Neurospora crassa OR74A: one gene and its partners. The protein of the gene in region 2 purifies or fractionates together with the protein of the main gene of each other region. This does not show direct contact. Links are inferred from orthologs where the notes say so. Each region holds a gene or a part of one and is shown on either strand. Other genes may lie near its edges. The genes, in order: fba, NCU00488 and NCU03269.

What was found.
Region 1: the proteins of NCU00488 (region 2) and fba purify together in Schizosaccharomyces pombe (affinity purification with mass spectrometry, with the first as the bait; 3 studies listed by BioGRID). This does not show direct contact. The link is inferred for Neurospora crassa OR74A from reciprocal best matches to the Schizosaccharomyces pombe genes paa1 and fba1.
Region 3: the proteins of NCU00488 (region 2) and NCU03269 purify together in Schizosaccharomyces pombe (affinity purification with mass spectrometry, with the first as the bait; 3 studies listed by BioGRID). This does not show direct contact. The link is inferred for Neurospora crassa OR74A from reciprocal best matches to the Schizosaccharomyces pombe genes paa1 and ypa2.

Annotation. Positions count from the first base shown.
Region 1 is NC_026505.1:218,315-224,136, reverse strand, and holds fba (fructose-bisphosphate aldolase), read right to left. Parts: upstream 3,678-5,822; 5' UTR 3,549-3,677; exon of another isoform or gene 3,422-3,548; 5' UTR 3,378-3,421; coding exon 3,363-3,377; intron 3,287-3,362; coding exon 3,256-3,286; intron 3,181-3,255; coding exon 2,902-3,180; intron 2,839-2,901; coding exon 2,716-2,838; intron 2,649-2,715; coding exon 2,554-2,648; intron 2,494-2,553; coding exon 2,360-2,493; intron 2,305-2,359; coding exon 1,893-2,304; 3' UTR 873-1,892; downstream 1-872. Other genes in the region: NCU07806 (hypothetical protein), read left to right, coding at 1-292; NCU07808 (hypothetical protein), read right to left, coding at 5,777-5,822. UniProt on the Schizosaccharomyces pombe protein: Catalyzes the aldol condensation of dihydroxyacetone phosphate (DHAP or glycerone-phosphate) with glyceraldehyde 3-phosphate (G3P) to form fructose 1,6-bisphosphate (FBP) in gluconeogenesis and the reverse reaction in glycolysis.
Region 2 is NC_026503.1:4,028,464-4,034,305, forward strand, and holds NCU00488 (protein phosphatase PP2A regulatory subunit A), read right to left. Parts: upstream 3,951-5,842; 5' UTR 3,226-3,950; coding exon 3,160-3,225; intron 3,070-3,159; coding exon 2,964-3,069; intron 2,853-2,963; coding exon 2,701-2,852; intron 2,633-2,700; coding exon 2,141-2,632; intron 2,073-2,140; coding exon 1,813-2,072; intron 1,756-1,812; coding exon 1,317-1,755; intron 1,258-1,316; coding exon 865-1,257; 3' UTR 396-864; downstream 1-395. Other genes in the region: NCU00487 (hypothetical protein), read left to right, coding at 1-159; NCU11185 (protein phosphatase), read right to left, coding at 4,582-5,842. UniProt on the Schizosaccharomyces pombe protein: Phosphatase 2A affects a variety of biological processes in the cell such as transcription, cell cycle progression and cellular morphogenesis, and provides an initial identification of critical substrates for this phosphatase.
Region 3 is NC_026501.1:5,136,402-5,141,967, forward strand, and holds NCU03269 (serine/threonine-protein phosphatase 2A activator 2), read left to right. Parts: upstream 1-2,263; 5' UTR 2,264-2,724; coding exon 2,725-4,074; 3' UTR 4,075-4,195; downstream 4,196-5,566. Other genes in the region: NCU03268 (hypothetical protein), read right to left, coding at 1,273-1,683, 1,745-1,902, 1,974-2,160; NCU03270 (hypothetical protein), read right to left, coding at 5,215-5,566.

The DNA of each region.
Region 1 (5,822 bases), on a different chromosome or scaffold from region 2:
CTTTGGCATCGGGTGCTCGATGCTCGGCGGCGAGACCGGCCTCTTGACCGGGTCGGCAGCAGCGACTCGCACCATCACCCGCGATCCCGAGTCCCGGAAGCGCATCGAGGATGCCTTTCGCCTGTTCCAGATCGATGTGCTGAAGCGCCAGCTGGAGATGCTCGAGCGGGAGGTCAAGGAGAGGGGCGGCGCGGCGGGGAGAAAGGAGACGGACTCGGAGTTTGCTTCTAGCTGGGAGAAGTTGAAGGATCAGGCGGGCGGGATGGTGAGCACCTTGAAGCCTTCCGAGTGATCGATTCTAGGTATGTTTTGAGTGAGCGAGAGGGATGGCTTGGGTGGTTTGGGTGGTTTGCATGGATTGGAGTTTCGGAATGATGGGTTTGTTCTTTTTGTTTCTGTTCTTGTTAATATTTCTGCTTTGCGCAGTCCCGTTTATTTATGGACGCTATACATAGGTATGGGTTCTGGATATATACTTTTACGTGTATGAAAGTTTTTGACCAAGTGTTCCAATGCTTCCAAGTGGTCAGCCTTTTGCCTTCAGAAGCCATTCACGAAGGTCATTTTAACTGGTGATGTCCACCCTCATCGGCTCCAGGAACCAAAACCATAACCCAGCCTACCTGTAACGACGAGTGCCTTTTCAAAACCCTTACTGTTTGTGAGAACAGCATTCCACTTCTTGTTCCAACCAACGACTTAAACACCCGGGTAAATCACAACCGCCGTCAACCTCGAAAATGCGATCGCCGAGGCACGGACCGAAGCTTGATTCAAGCACCTCTACTCATCATCCACTACAAGCTAATATAGCGCCAAAACTCGAGTAGCATCTAATTGAAGACCGATACTCATCATTACTCGAACCGCCTGTTTGGCCTTCGGCGTACTTGACTGTTTGAGTTACATCGTCTTCCATCCCATCTCCTAGGTAGGTAATCGAAAATATTATTAATGGCGTTGCCAGAACCCATCAAGACCCGCAACATCCCAACAATCAAATCGACAGATAGCATTTCTTAGGTACGGAAAGCTGCCCAGACGCAGCAAATCTCGTGTAACATGTTTGCATCCTGGTGCAAAATATCATGAACTTGCTGCATTGCATTGCATGGCATCAGCTGTCTCGTGCACAGAGGCATGCCCACCAAACAAGTTGACCTTGAAACCAAAACAACAAAAAGCAAAGCAGAAAGAAAAGCAAAAAAAGAACCCCATACCGCGTCCGGTAATGAGGATGAAGAGGTGTTCTCAGCGTTATTGACGCAGGTAGTTAAAGCGATGGATTGAAAAACTGCATCGGCAGCGGAAGCGGGCAGAACTGTCGTCGGACAGCCTGTGAAAAGTGGTGTCTGGAACAAAGCATCAGACAAAGAAATGCGTGTGCATCAGATGGCCCTTAACTGAGGGTCGAACTCATAACCTCCTACCACTGAGAGGTGTTCGCCGCTCACATCGGAACCACTGCGCCAAATGGGTTGCTCATAACCTGTCAAAGACTGCGTGCGCAGGGAAGCGCCTCGTTGTTGGACCGAAGAGTCTGACTTGGGCCTTATATACTCCACCACATGAGAGCACAAGATCCATGTCCACCAAGCATGACTGAAGGGTCCGTGTACGGACTTGGGAGAAGCTCAAAGGCAACTTTTCAATTGGGTATGTACTACTTTTCGGTATCACCCCAAACCCAACCGGCTAGCATAACATCATCATAGCCGGTAACTTGAACCCCCCGGAACACCGTGAACCAACCTGCTAGTATACGTCCAAGTATCGGCAAAGCCGACACGCCATGGAACCAGTCTCAATGGCCGGCAACCACTATAAACACGAACGGAATCAAGCAGTGTACTCATCAAATCATTCCATTTTCATTATCTCCCAGTTCCCATTTAGACGGTGCCGGCAGCGTTGAAGTCCTTGAGGGCCTCCTCGACGCGGGCCTTCATGGTCTTCTCACCCTCGCGGATCCAGACACGGGGGTCGTACTTCTTCTTGTTGGGCTTGTTGGGGCCCTCGGGGTTACCGACCTGGCTCCTCAGGTAGTCGATGTTGTTGAGGATGTAGTCACGGATACCGACGAGGTAGCTCCACTGGAGATCAGTGTCGACGTTGACCTTGACGACACCGTTGGAGATAGCCTCACGGTACTCCTCCTTGGAGGAGCCGGAACCACCGTGGAAAACGAAGAAGACAGGCTTCTTGTCCTTGCCACCGAGCTTCTCGGAGACGTAAGCCTGGTGCTTGCCAAGGAGCTCGGGGTGGAGCTTGACGTTGCCAGGAGCGTAGACACCGTGAACGTTGCTGTCATCTCGTTAGTTCTGATCAATCGAGAGCAAGGGGTAGGGTTCAGCCTTACCCGAAGCCAGCGGCAATGGAGAAGTAGGGAGAAATAGGGCGGAAAGCCTCCTCGATCTGCCAGATGTCCTCGGGCTGAGTGTAAAGAGAAGCGTTGTCAACCTCGGAGTTGTCAACACCGTCCTCCTCGCCACCCTGTTTGCAAGTGTTAGTTTTGTTTCCTTTTGGAGCAAGCGCATTATGACATTGACGTACGGTGATACCGATCTCCATCTCGAGCCACTGCTTCATGGGCGCCATGCGCTTAAGGTACTTGACGCAGGTGGAGATGTTCTCCTCAACGGGCTCCTCTGTAATTGCACGTCAGTAAGCTGGGGTATTGGTGAGAGCGGTCGCATTCGTCGGGGGCAGACTTACCAGAGAGATCGATCATGTGAGAAGAGAAGAGGGGCACGCCGTTGGCCTTGAAGAACTTCTCGTCCTCCTCGAGCATGCCATCGAGCCAAGGGAGAAGCTTCTTGGCGCAGTGGTCGGTGTGGACTAGGACCATGTCAGCATCTTGGAAGGCAAGTTGAACCGAACAAGACAAGCTAAGCTACTTACGGACAACGGGAATGCCGTAGATGGGGGCAATGGAGCGGATGTAGTGAGCGGCGGCAATGGCACCGGCGACGGAAGCCTCGCGCTTCTCAGCAGAGTCCTTGATGCCCTTGCCGGCGAAGAAGGCAGCACCACCCTGGGAAGTCTGGAGGATGATGGGAGCCTTCTGGTCGCGAGCAGCCTCGAGGGCAGCGACGGCAGTGCTAGAGGAGGTGACGTTGCAGGCAGGGATAGCAAACTGCTTCTCGCGAGCGTACTGGAAAAGCTTCAGGACGTCATCACCTAGAGGTAAAGAAAAAGGTCAGATTTTGTTTATGTTCCGGTATCGGGCAGCGCATCTGCTTGGCCAAATCGTACCGTAGAGGACGCCAGCGGGAAGGTTGAGCTCCTGTTGAGGGTATCACCGTTAGATCAGCTGCGCTTCGAAGCTATCAATTGCCAGGATGAGACTGGAGGAGACTTACATCGAAGATACCCATTTTGACTGTTGGTTTTGGTTATGAAGTTGCGTGACGCGGGGTAGCTGTTAGTGTGAAAAGGTGGAAATAGGTAAGTATAAGAACGCTTTCCAGGATAGCAGGTTGAGGGTATCACAAACAAGAATGAAGAGGATGAAAAGAGGAAGATGGGACAGAACTGGAAGCACTCACGGTTTTGCAGACTGCGGGAATTTGTATGACGAAGGGTTGATGTCCTGCTCAGGAGATTTGGGAAGAGGAGACGGAGAAGAGAGAAACTGCAAGAGGGTCGACAGTCACGCCCAACAATCTCCCGTCAGTGGTTCAAGGACGAGGAAGGAAGTGGAGGGATCGTAGGTCAGCCAGCGGGGCGGCCGAGCATAGCACCGACGCTCTAGCCGCGATTTCATTGGCCAGGACACCCAAACAGAGCAAGAGCTGCGTTGTGCCCCTCACTAGTGGTCCAAGGTGGGGGGTTGACGACGAGCATTGAGCAGGGAGCTGTCTCCAAAATGACAGACCACTTGCAGCAACCCGCAGCCCAGACCCTCCAAAGAGTGGACTGCGCCAAGCGGCCGTCTTCCCGACGCTTGCTTGTCAGTGTCGCGTCACTGCTTGGTCGGGGTTCTTGTCCGGGGGTCCCCTCTTGCCATCCGCAGCCAGGTGGCCCCACTGTCACGGCTTGAGCATTGCCGGACCGTCACATTCATTTCATCAAGGGCAGTCTTGGCCGTCGTCACCTCACAATGGCAGACTTTCTTCAAGCCAGTGTCGTCATCCCGTGTTTTCAACATTGGACCATATTATCGATGTTGCTCGCTGTCTGGTTGGCGGCGTGTATGAAGCTTCAGCTTTATCCAGACAACGAATCAAAAGACCGCCAATTCAACCCGTCGAAAGACTTCACACCTCCCCTTTCCATTCTTTCACTGGCTATTCCATATGTATTCATCTCCAGAACTGAGGAGACCATATGCCATGCAGCCTCCTTTCGGAAGGTTAGACAACAGACAAAACCCTTGCCCACAGGTCTCGTGCCCGTCAAATGTGTCATGACTTCGCCGAATTTGTCGTGGTTTTGATTGTTGGAGAACGTGAAATGGAAAAGATCGGAATCCGGGGTTCAGGATCGCGATGAATGACCTCAGTCCGACATGACACCACTACACCGCTCAATATCGGCGACACTCATCGTGATGATGGTTTCCAGGTTGACTATGGCTTTGGCGTATATGATATAAAGCCGGACCCTCGTTGTCACCCTTGGCCACCACCAACACTACCTATCACGGTAGCAGCACAATAAAAGCGACTGGAGACACGTAGGTAGGTAAAGGAAGGTTATTGACAATCGCGGTCCTCGGACACGCTACTTCCTGTGATAGACAGTCAATCATCAGGGCGTCTTGACCGACTTGACAGACATCACTGACACGGGCTGTTGAACTGAACAATGACTCGACCGATGACCTCATTGGGAGCCACTCTGGATTGCATCCCCCCATTGCGAGACCCTGTCGAGGGCCTCGAGAACCCCAGTGTTCCCAGGGGAACCTTTCGAGTGGAATTTACCCCTGGATTGGGTTTCTTCGGGTTCCATTCTCCCGTCTCTTCCCGGGACGTGTTGTTTTGTTCATCCAGCTCACGGAACGGAACCGTTATCGCCAAGACCCGGGACTCCCCGGATCCAGACCCGCTTGCCCCGCATTCTTCCCCAAGTTCCCGTCCGGGCTGCCGAAGCAACGAACTGAATGAGCCACGTGAACAAGCATCCGGGGATAGCGTCGTTGAGCCGGCAGTATCTTTAAATGCATCATGATCCTGGCCGCTGATGCTCTTGTGGTTGCCATGTGTTGATGCGCTGCCACAAGGCTCAAGCCGCAAGCTCAGTGACCGGCACCCTCGGTTACAAGGCTGGGCTTACTAACCGACAGGGACTTTTCCCGGCTTCCCCCATTGGTTCCCCTTCGTTCATCCTTCTCAATGTAGCAGCCCTTTCTACTTTCTTGCGTGTAAAAAGTTGACCGCACCCAGTGCTGCTCCCAACCAGTACTGGCAAGAACCACGTTCTTCTTCTCCCATCTGCGCGCCTCAAGCCCATGGAGTCACGGGCAGGCGTCCGTCCTAAACAGTCTATTTCCCGCACCTCACCTTTTCTACCCAGGCTTCTCTGAACACAGAACTCGCTGGACACCTTCGACGGATGTCGTAAAGTTGGTTGTCACTCGGGAAGCCCATCCCACCGCCCACCTCTCTTCATGGAAGTGCAAGCTTGAACTGGCCAAAGAAACACTGGAAGTCACCGAGAAAATCATCAGACTTCAGAATTCACAAGCACACCCTACCACTGCCGACAGGGATCAAGCACAGGTGCAGAACAATTTCATTCATCATCCATCGCAAACCGGCTAGCCCGACCTCTACTTACGGCCAGCAAAACCAGTGAAGGGCTCAAGGAACAGAATC
Region 2 (5,842 bases):
GGGTGGTTCGAGACGGACTTTGCCGAGGTTTATGAAGGTACGGAGAAGAAAAAGTTGGGCCTGAGGCAGGTAGGTAGGATTGAGTACCCTAGTTTTAGTTTTGGGGGTGTCAAGGGGCAGACGATTAGCACGCTTTGTTTCCAGAAAAGGGATATTTAAGAGGTCGAGAGAGGTGTAGTGGTCAAGTTGCGGAGAAAACAGGAGATGATAATATGTAATGGGCTCAAGAGGCGATTTGTGGGATGCTCAAAAACCATGCGCGGGAAGGATGTCTGGATGATGGAGTACCACGTCTTGATGCACATATTTGGAAAGACTACAAATGACTTCGCATCGGGGTTTCTACGACGTCCACGAATTACGGATTGTTACGTGATGTCCGTCTGTGTGCTCACTTTATCAGTGATCGTTGATTGTTATCATCCCTTGTACCGATACTTCTCATATTGGCATGCCTGCTCCCAGTGGTATCTCGGGTCGTAGTTACTGGAGCCCACATATTCCCTTCCACGCTATCCTCTGATGGGCATTTAGCCAGCCGACCATGCTCAACTATTTAAGTATCAACTAACGAACAAAAAGGAATAGAACCTCCGCGATCCTGTAGCGTACAATAATTCTACCACAGAAACAGTGAAGATGTCAACAAGAAAAGTGCAAAACCATGTTCTTGAATCTGTAATGTATAAACAGCGGTGATGGTACAGTGCCCGAGTGACTACGACAAGTCTAAGGAAGAAAAACTGGCCACTAGTTTATCATAGTCCTAACGCTGCTCTGTTGGCTCATTGATGGTAACAAAAACTTTCTTCATTAGGTGGGACTCTCTGCTTTCCTATGTTCTTCCGTCTCAAAATCCGTTGTCTATGGAGATGTGTTCATGGGCTCCCCACCGCTAGGAACAGGATTTCCTGCCTCGGTGGCAGCTCCCATAAGAGGACCAGTTGCTTGGGCCGCAGCAGTCGTCGCAAAGTACCGCACATCCACATCATCATCCTTTTGCAACTTCTCCAAGCACGGCATGATGCGCTGCTGGATGAGCTCCTGACCCTTGGGCGACGGGGTGGCAGGCTTGCCCTCCTTCTCTAGCGTATAGATGGTGCCCTCGTCGGGCAGACGACGCAGAACACCGATGATGATGCCATATGTCTTTGCGACGTTAAAGCGAATATTGGGGATCGAATCGGCTGTGAGCTTTTCCAGCATCGGAAGGATGGACTTGGCAATCACATCCAGACTGACAACGGTAGCCAGGGTCTGTAAACACTAGTCAGACAGGGACTTCACTGATTTTCGTATGCCATTGAGTCTCTTACCGTGATAGCAAAGCAAGTGGTCATCCGGTAAAGGTAGTTGGGGTGGGCACCCATAGCCATAACCTTGGGAATAATAGCCTCGCTTGCCCACTCAACACCAAACACCTCGGTCAGCTTCCTTAGGTTTTGAGTAGCGGCCTCACGAATGGAGAAAACAGTATCTCCGAGCCAGCCCATGCAAAGCTGGCTGAGCTTCTCGTCAAAAAACTTGACGCCCAGCTGGCTGGCAAGAAGCGGGATGTAGTCGATAATAGCCAAGCGTACACGCCACTGCTTATCTTCGGCTAGCTGTACAATGGCCGGAAGGAGAGACTGAGAAAGGAGGTCGATGCCGATAACTTGGTTCACAAGCTCCAGTTTGCTGATGATGTGAAGGCGAACCTCTGGGAACTCGTCCTTGAGCATCTGAAGGAACATGGGCAGAAGATGATCAATAGTCCTTGTGCAATAATTAGCATACGCATCAAAGAAACCGTGTCTGACTGCGGGAACGTACTCTTGCTTGCCCAAGATAGGAGCGAGGCCGCTGATTTGTGTGCCAAGGGCAGCTCTGACATGCTGGGAGCTATCCGAGACGAGATCCTCAACACTTCCCATGATGTCATTCAGGAGAACGTTGCGGTCAACCAAAGCACAGAAGCCAGGGATCTGGCCGGCGATGGCAGTCCGCACCTCAGCCTCGTTATCTTTCAGGAGTTTTACGAATGCAGGAACAAGATCTCTGGACACAACCTCATCATCAACCGCCTTCGCAATCTGTATGTGCTGTTAGTCATCCAAGAATTGATATGAGGGGAGGCCAAGTGCTTAGCGCGACCACGAACCTTCTCAAATCTGTCGGCGATCATATAGCGGACCCTCCAACTCTTGTCCTCTATCAAGCTGCGTAGCGATGTGAGGAGCACGGTGTGGCTGGCTTGTTGCTCTTTGGGCACAACCTCCGCAATAGAGATCAAAATCTCGACTGTAAGGAGTCTGACGCTGTCCTGGTCGTCCTGGGCGAGGTGTTGGAACATGGGTATCATTTCCTCGATAACGATGGGAGCCGGCATCTCCTTCACGAACTTGGCCATGTTGGTGGCGGCCTGACGGCGCACCATGGGGGTCTCATCGTGGACGAGCTGTCCAAACTGCTGGCGCAATTGTTCTTGAATAGGCGGCGAAACTTTCGAGTAGGGGGTTGTATACAGGCCGCATGCGGAAACCTTGGACGTAAACCAGTCGGCCTTGGAGAGGCGAATCGTAAGAGGGATAAAGTATTCTTCAACTTGCTGCGAAGAGAGTTGAGTGCAGATCTTGTTCAATGATTCGACAGCCTAAAACGTTTGTCAGTACACATGCGGGTCGCATGACAAGAAGCCAGGAAATGGTCACGTATCCGTACCTTGTCTCGCACCACGGGCTCCTCGATAGCAGCGAGGTTCTCAAGGGGGGAAAGAAGGACATGTCCCCATGCGGGGCCCCCCACGTACTCGACAAAGTTACCAAGCTCTTCACTCAGGGCAACGAGGACCTCATCTTCATCTTCAACCGATTCTGCATTCAGAAGTGTCAGCAGCCGTATCTCAAGAGTCCCAGCGGCTGTGTAGCCAGAGGCCGGCGCAGGTGGGTTTGCTAGGCTGAAGCTGGGTCGAAGGGTTGGCTAACCATCGAGAAAGGGAATCAGCTCCTCGCGAGTGCGCTCGGGACCCAAAGCAAGGGCGATAGTCGAAAGACGGTGGATGGCGTTTAATCGGAGGACGACCTCGTCGTGCTGCCCAAAGTCAATCAGGGTTTACAGTCCATCAACCAGACAAGAAGGGATAGTCAGGGGTTCTGGCCGTCCGGGTCACCGCCATCATACCTTCAATTCGTCGATTAGCACGGCGATGGGGAAGAGCTCGTCGTTCGCGTTCGTCGCGTCGGCCATTGTGGGCGATTTGTGAAGTGGACGCGGAAGATCGCGGGGGAGTATACAGTCGGCGAGCGAGGCGGATTTGGACAAACTGGTTGACTTGGTACGGATGTTCGCTTGCGGGCGTGATGCAATAGACGGGGGGGTGTGGACTGGACTGGTAGCCGGTCGGGCGACGCTGTGCGGCGGCGGTACCAGTGACTGTGATTGTGGTAGAGAGAGGAAAGTGGATGCGTGCGTGTGCGCAACTTGGTAACTGCGTTGCTTGGGCGGGCAGCTAGGTAGGTAGGTAGGTTTGTTGTATTTAGGTTGGTTTTGGTTGCTTGGTTGAAAAAGAAAAAGCAAGAGTGACGCTTCGTCGGGTCGAAATCGGAATTGGATGCGATCTCTCAGCAGTAAGGTAGTTTCGCACACGGCGCCACGACACGGCGGGCAGCAAGCAGGCAAAGAAGGAATGATACTGGACGGTTTTGCTTGATAATAGGTAAGGGTTGCTTGATGGAGGGTTGACGGTGGTTCCTGTTCGGGGGGAGGACTCACCTACACCTAGAGGTGGAGATCGGAGCGAGCTTGGTGGTCCCCGCAGGGCCGCAACAAGGAGGAGCAGCAACAGCAGCAGCCAGGGCAGCAGGGCAGCAGGGCAGCACTTAAGGTCGCCTAACCAACGGCGGGACACAGCTGGACCCGGTCTTCGACACAAATTGACCTGACGCGCAAAGCTGGGGTCCAGTTCATGACGGGGGCCGGGCGGACAAGGGTGAGAACTGAGAAGGAGCACTGGCCACTCGCCATTTCAGCTTGGGACGTAGCCGCCCGTTCCCGTCGTAGGGGTGGCCCCTCAAGGCGCACCGGGCACCACTTACGTAGGTACCTACTTGCTGCACCACGAGAGTTAGGTAGGTAGGTACCTCTATCAATGAACCACTTCTTTCGCTTCCAACTCGCGACGTAAGCCGCTCTTTCTGTTCAACTTACATTTCTTCGTGAGGTCAGGTTGTTGGAAAACACTGCAGACTGACATAAAAAGGAGGTGCTACAGCTCCGGAAGAATGGCAACAGCCATCAAGATGCAAGAAGGGGAGAATGTTTAACACCAACTAACTGCCTTGTTACAGCCTAAGGTGAGTTGTTACAACATCACGTATTCCAATTCTGACTCACTAAAACATCATCACATGTTAATACTGATACTGGTTTGGGAATGTATGCTGTTCATATTTTGCTGTCTTATAAAGTCAGGCATTACTGCAACTAAAGCATCGCTAACCTTGCTTCATCAGGGAGCATGCTGTTCCAACGTGCTATTCTCATAACGGGAACCAATTGCCCACATATTATTCTACTCTTTCTCCAACATTCTTCACCACTCATCTAACTCATACTCTTCATCTCCTGCTCCGCCAGTTCGTTTTGCGAATTCCGCCCGGAATCAGAGCCAGATCCTCCAATCGAACTTCGCCCTGTGCTCCCACCGGTGCCGCCGCCAAACATAGCCTTTCCAAGCGACAATCCGGAAATCCTCTCCTGAAGAGCTGCAAAAGTGCCCGTAGGATCTCCAGCGGCGACATTCCGGTTTGGTGGCGCCGGACTTCTAGTCCCGGGCGTCAGAACCTCGTGGGCCGACTCCACGCCTGCATGCACGGACCCTCCGGCCGCGGTAGCTGCCAAGCCCGGCGGCAGCGGGCTCCGGGTGGGGCTTACCGATGTCCGCGATGGGGCGCCGGACGATGGTGGGTTGCTGTTCACATCAATCGTACCCGCATCGACAGGCCTTGAAAGCTCTGATGACGACGAAGCTTGCTGATACGCAGCAACACGCTCTGCTGTTGCGGCCAAGGCATTGAGGTCGCCATTCATCTCATCATCCGTCCGGTTGAAGAGTTGGTGCCACCACCGCACGTCGTCGCAGCGAGGGAATAGTATACGCTCACGGCCCCTGACGTGGTCGTCAACTGTGGCATCGTACTGCTCGTTCGTGAACTCCGAGCGCCGGCTCAGAAAGTAGGCCCACACGCTTCTTGTACGTTCTTGTAACCGTGCTTCGTGGCGCTGGCGCTCGTTGTTGAACAAAAAGGTACCGTACTGACAAGAATACACATGGTAGTATAAGCGGCGCAGGAATCGTTCGTTAAACTCGAAGCGAGTCGGGTGTTGCCTGAGGAGCTGGTAGGTGGCGTCGAGGAACTGGTGGAAGACAGGCGAGATATCCTTGGGTCTTGTTGCCATATTTTCGGCAACAGCAGGTTCCACGCCGGTCTCGATAGGCGTCCCATCCGCATCAGTAACGGCTTCCTTCCCGCTGGCCGTTTTTTTGCTCCAAAATCGCTTCGCGCCGGCTATGGCGTTCTCAAAATGGTCTGCCCGACCATCATTTTCCCCTGGCTTCACGGCGGTCCCTGCAAGTGCATCGCCGTCCACTGTAAACCAGTCCTCATGACTTAGATGCCCTGACCGAAGGTGAAACATGTGTCCAAAAGACAGCCAATCCTTCTCAACCAGCACAATGAAGCCTTCGAGAGTGCGATAATAGGGATCAAGCATCAGCTGAGAAAGGGCACTGAGCTGGCTTGTGCGATCCCATCCATCGGAACAGTGAATGAGAACATTGGAGTGCTGGATACCTACTCTTTGT
Region 3 (5,566 bases), on a different chromosome or scaffold from region 2:
TCTCCAATCTCTTGGATGGTCCTAGTGCTTGTGATAGAGGCGTCCTCGGGGATTTCGCGCGTAACTCGAAGCTTCTCATCAGTCCTCCCACCCCTTTCCCCAATGTGATGCGAGGAGGGGTCCAGAGCATGGTAGACTGAAATTCGAGGTGTTAAGTTACGTCTCATGTATCCTGGTACTGCTGGGGTTTTGGAGGCGAACGTCCGGGGTACAGGCGCTAGCTCAGCCGCTCAGACAGCATCTCCCGGCACAGGTTGCCGAAGGACGCCGACAGTCCGTCTCCGGCCAGAGCGCAGGCAGGGCAGGGCACCAAAGCTCGATTCTGCATCAATCAATATACCTTTGCGGTATTCAGCATCTGCATCACAACACAAGCGCTTTCGTTTCGCTATTGTCACTGCACAAAACTTACACTGTACATCTTCAGGACAGCCCCATGTGGTGTTCCGTGAAGCTCTGTTTGACCCGCTCGAATCAGACAAAGGCCGTTGTGCATTGATGCCGTCCAAGCCGCGTAAAAAGATGGCGAACACAACCAATAGTCAAGGAGTCGGAATGGGACTAAGAATTGCGTGTTGCATAAGATCAAGCCTGACACATGGGGAGGCGAAGAATAGACGCTTTCGAAAAGCCCAACGCAGGGGCACCAAACCATCAGCTCGAGGCTCACAGCTACGTGGCTCCATCATCCGGATTAGATAACTCCCACAACCCCAGTGCCTTATTGAAAGCACTCATAATATCCGTTCTAATCTTGTCGATTGGTTCTTCAATCACACCTGGGACACCAAGACCGTAATGCCCCGTGACATCAGTGCCTGGGAAAGGCGACATGAAACAGGGGTCTGGCCCTGGCCTGGAATATTCAAACATACCCCCTATGTCGGACCCACCTCTTGTGCGTTTGAAGTGGCGATGTTTTGTCAAAGGAACCCGTGCATAATCCACGTAAAATCTCGCTCGAGATAGTTATCCACTCCGTTGCGCTGATTGATATCCAACGCGATCACAATCTCCACTTTGCCGAGTGATGTGTGATTGTGCCGAGAGGGTAGCGGTTATCTTTGCAATGTGTCTGGTTCGTATCCGTCCAGAACTGGCTTTTTGCCACGGATACAGGATTATCGAGTCGCATTGCAAGTTGCACTTGTCCCGTCAACCGGCGAAAAGGCCTATGAGTTCTCATTTCGGAAACATCATGAGCCGACTGTTCAACCCTTCGGCTTTTGAAACGCACGAGATACGGGCAGACAGTCCGGTCCGAATGCATCTTCACTTCCAGTGGAGGTCGGATGCTACTTTGGTCTCCAGCGTCGACCGAAGGAAATGGCGCATATCTGGGCTGGACGCGTCATCGTCAAGCACCATATCGATGCCATCCTGCTTTGAGGCAGTCTGACAGCATATCTTCTGGGCATTTTCGTAAACGCCATCCCATTCCTTGACGGTGAAGTCACCTTCGCTTTCTGAAAGAAGCAGTTCATCGTGCGAGGTAAAAGCAAGGACATGTAGCGAGGTTGCCTCTCTGATATCCTGGGGGGAGGGATCAGCCACGATCTTCTTCGAACCGTCGTCGGATACCACCGCCACCACTGTGGATGTAGCGGTTGCCTTCATTGGCACAGCAGCCGATAGAAGAGCGAGAACGGCAGTCTGGAACAAGGCCGGTATGATGGGGAGGTTCTGTTGCCAGGATTAGTTATAGCCTACCAACAGAGGGAGGAGAGGGTTCGAATTCTCTTACCAAACTGGCCTGGACCAGTTTTGTGTTGACGTAAGCATTTTCAGGCGTGCTCTCAACTTGAAGAACGATTTGGATGACAGAACGGGGAAAGTTCTTGACAAGGATGATTTGAGAAAGAGAAGACTGCAAAATAAATTCCAGATGGCGCTCTCGTGTTCCTATATAGAAAAGTAAAGTAAGTGAGATGCAGTCCTTTGCCTGGGTGGTGGTGCCATTATGATGTTCTCACCTCCTACCCCGGCAGAGGGTCGTACGATTACATCAACGTGAGCCTCATAAGCATGTTCGTCCCGACGCTGAGCCTCAATGGGTCCATTGACAGAGGCCGTGACCGTGTACCCAGCATATGAGTATCTGGCCGATCCATCCGCCCGGGGAAGGGCGTTGAGAGACGCTTCAGGTGTCACGGTGGCCATGATGTGAGTAGTGTTTGGGTCGGTGTGAGGGTAGGTGGGGCTTAGGATTTGGTTGACGGACGGTGGTTGAAATCAAGTGGTGAGCGAGCTTGTTTCTGAGGCCGCGCGAGTGAAGATTTGAAGGCGGGATGTTGAAGGCGGGTCGTTCCTCCACGACGGGATCTGCAGCCCGGGCGCTAGCTTTTGAGGTGGCCCCACTCCGTTCTTTCCCAGCGGCGGGCCCTGCCAAGCTTTCAGAAATGGAAGCTGCAGCCCAGCCAAAGAACGCCATTACGCTTTCTGCCGTCAGCACTTTGCCTGCCCCACGATGGCTCTACGGCGGGGTAGACTAGAATGCTCACAGCATCCAGGGGATTGCCCGTCACTACCTTGGGGTGGGTAGGTAGGTAGGTAAACTTCCCTTCCAACATCCACACTCGGACCCTTCCACCTACATCACGGAACCACTCTCTCCAGCTTCTTCCATCAGTCATCTTATCTAAAGTAACGAGTACGGTCAACTGCAACACCGACCACGGAGAAGCCTACCTTCACACTGTTCAGAACATCCAGCTTTCATCCATCATGGACTCATCAGTGACAACAGGAAGGTCAGGCATAGGCACCGGCCAAGGATCGCCAGCAGCCTCAGGACAACCCATCTCCAAAGCCGGCCAGGCCATCCCGAATCTACGAGACCGTATCCCCAAGCTAGAGCCCAGGCGACGGAAGCAGGAACCATCGAACCCGACTCCGGTTCCAGAAACCCCCGCCCTACCTCCGCGCCCCGACCCATCCACTCTGGTGTTCCAGACGCCCGTCCGGCGGATCCTTCTCCTGAAAGACCACGAGCTCTTCTTGGCCTCTCCCTCTTTCAATCTCATCCTCTCTTTCGTCTTCTCCCTCTCCGAATCCGTAGCCGACACGCCCATCTCGGCTATCAAGGACTCTGACCTAAGCGAGCCCGTGAAGGCCATCCTTCGCATCCTTGACGAGACCGAAGCGTTGTGCAAAGAGTCGCCACCAGACGACCAAGGCGGCTCCCGCTTCGGCAACAAGACCTTCCGTCTCTTTCTCGACAAGGTCAAGCAGCGCGGACATCAATGGCACGCCGCCTTTTTGGGAGGCAAACTTCCCGACGCTGCCGTCACTGAGGCCTCAGCCTACCTCAACCAGTCCTTCGGCAACCGCACGCGCATCGACTACGGCTCGGGTCACGAGCTCAACTTCATCATGTGGCTTCTGTGCCTGTACCAGCTCTCGGTCCTCGAACAATCAGACTTCAAAGCCGTCGTGCTCCGCGTCTTCGCCCGCTACCTAGAAGTTATGCGCCTGATTCAGATGACGTACTATCTCGAGCCGGCAGGCTCGCACGGCGTGTGGGGGCTGGACGACTACCAGTTCTTGCCCTTTCTGTTTGGCGCCAGCCAGCTGTTGCATCACCACTTTATTACGCCACGGGCGATTCATCAGGAGCTGACGCTGGAGGAGTTCGGGCATGACTTTTTGTACCTGGGCCAGGTGGCGTTTGTCAATAGCACTAAGACGGTGAAAGGTTTAAGGTGGCATAGTCCGATGCTGGACGATATCAGTAGCGCCAAGAATTGGGAGAAAATTGAGGGCGGGATGAGGAGGATGTTTGTGTCGGAGGTGCTGAAGAAGTTACCGGTTATGCAGCATTTCTTGTTCGGATCGCTAATTCCTGCGGCGGAGGGTATGAGCGAACAAGATCCCAATGCCTTGGGTAGCGAGGAGAATGAAGAGGAGGGCGGCGAGGTGGAAGTGTACGATGATAGTGATGGCAAGAGGCATGTTCATCAGCCGACTGGCTGGGGCGATTGTTGCGGTATCAAGGTGCCGAGTAGTCTGGCGGCGGCGGAGGAAATGCGGAAGAGGGGACAGGTGGAGAGTTTGAGAAGAATACCTTTTGACTGAGATCGATGTCATATCTTAGTGTAATGTTTATCATATTCGTGTTATATTTGCTCGACGTCACTCCATACATCAAGAGTAATAATCAAGCCGCAAAAACTACAATGGTCATACTAACATGCTCACGAACGATCCTATATCGCTAAAGGTCTGACGCCGGTATGATAGGTTATCAAAGCCAGACAAAGTTCACTTTAGGGTCTGACACTTCCGCGTAACTGCGCCGTCACAGGTTGTCATTAGGTTGGACCGGGTATTCGATTTCCTCGACGATGAATCAGGTAGCAGAATTGTGGAGAAATGAGTATGTTATCTTGAGTAAACAGAGGCTGAGGGGATAGCAAGAGTGAATGGGCGAAGTACTGTACGACATCATATTCCTTTCAAATGCGCTGTGCCTACGATGTAAGCTCGTCCGTATCTTTGGCATGTTCACCACCGTACCCGTATAAGATTGCTATTTGTCAACCTGTCGAGCGTGGATGAGCAAGGAGGGTACGCTAGGGAAGCCACAAGGAAGCAAAAAGCACATTCCACAACAAATCACAATCCATTTTGATAATGATATGAAGAAGGCTAGGCGAATCCTTTAGAGCGCTTATGACTAACTTATTCAAGCCGTAGGGAAATCCGATGGTAACATACAGTCCAACTCCATTCCAAGGCCCCAACCAGTAGTCGCTAAACGAAACGAGCGAAAGAAAAAGAAGGCCGCAAAAAAAAACAACGACAGATTGACCTCAGTCATGATGATGGCTGAAAACGAAACCCACACCACATTCATCGCAAAGTGCTTTGCTTTACCCAACGCACAAGAACGGCTGCTGCCATAGGCGTCCGTCCTTCGACTGTCGGACACCCATGCAGAGAGGGTATCGAAGGAAATAATTCCATCCCCACCAAACGCCGCCAATATTTCCCAATGGTTGAAAGAGTTCGATGCCGATATGCTTGGTAAAAAAAAAGGATAAAAGACTGGAAAAAAGCCGCCGCCCAGTATGCAAACAAGAAAAACCTCGTCCTCGTACCCAGATCGGGAACACCGGGCGCATCTGCCTGTCTGGGTGTCGCTACTGTGACGGACGTCGTTTCTTGGTACTGTACCGGACCAAGAGAAACACACCACTAACAGGTCCGAAAGGTTTAATCCTCCCAAATAGTCTCCAAATCGAGATCCTGTCTCCTCTCCGCACCGCAGACACTCCACCGCTTCCGCTTGTCTCTGGACACAAACCCTAAAGTCCTGCCTCGCGACAAAGCATCCGCATTCGCTTTGCTTTTGATATCACCGCCACCTTCCGCCGCCTCCGCTTCGGCCTTCAGCTGCGCGATTCTCTCGGCTTCTAGAGCGGCCTCCTCGGCATCTGGGGTGTCTGGGATGGTTTCAAGACTGGAAATACTGGGGCTCCTGGATCTCATGGAAGTAGGTGTTGAAGGCATGGAGGTTGTGTAATAGTTGCTGGAAAATGAGTCGTAAGCTCGGTAGGATGGCGAC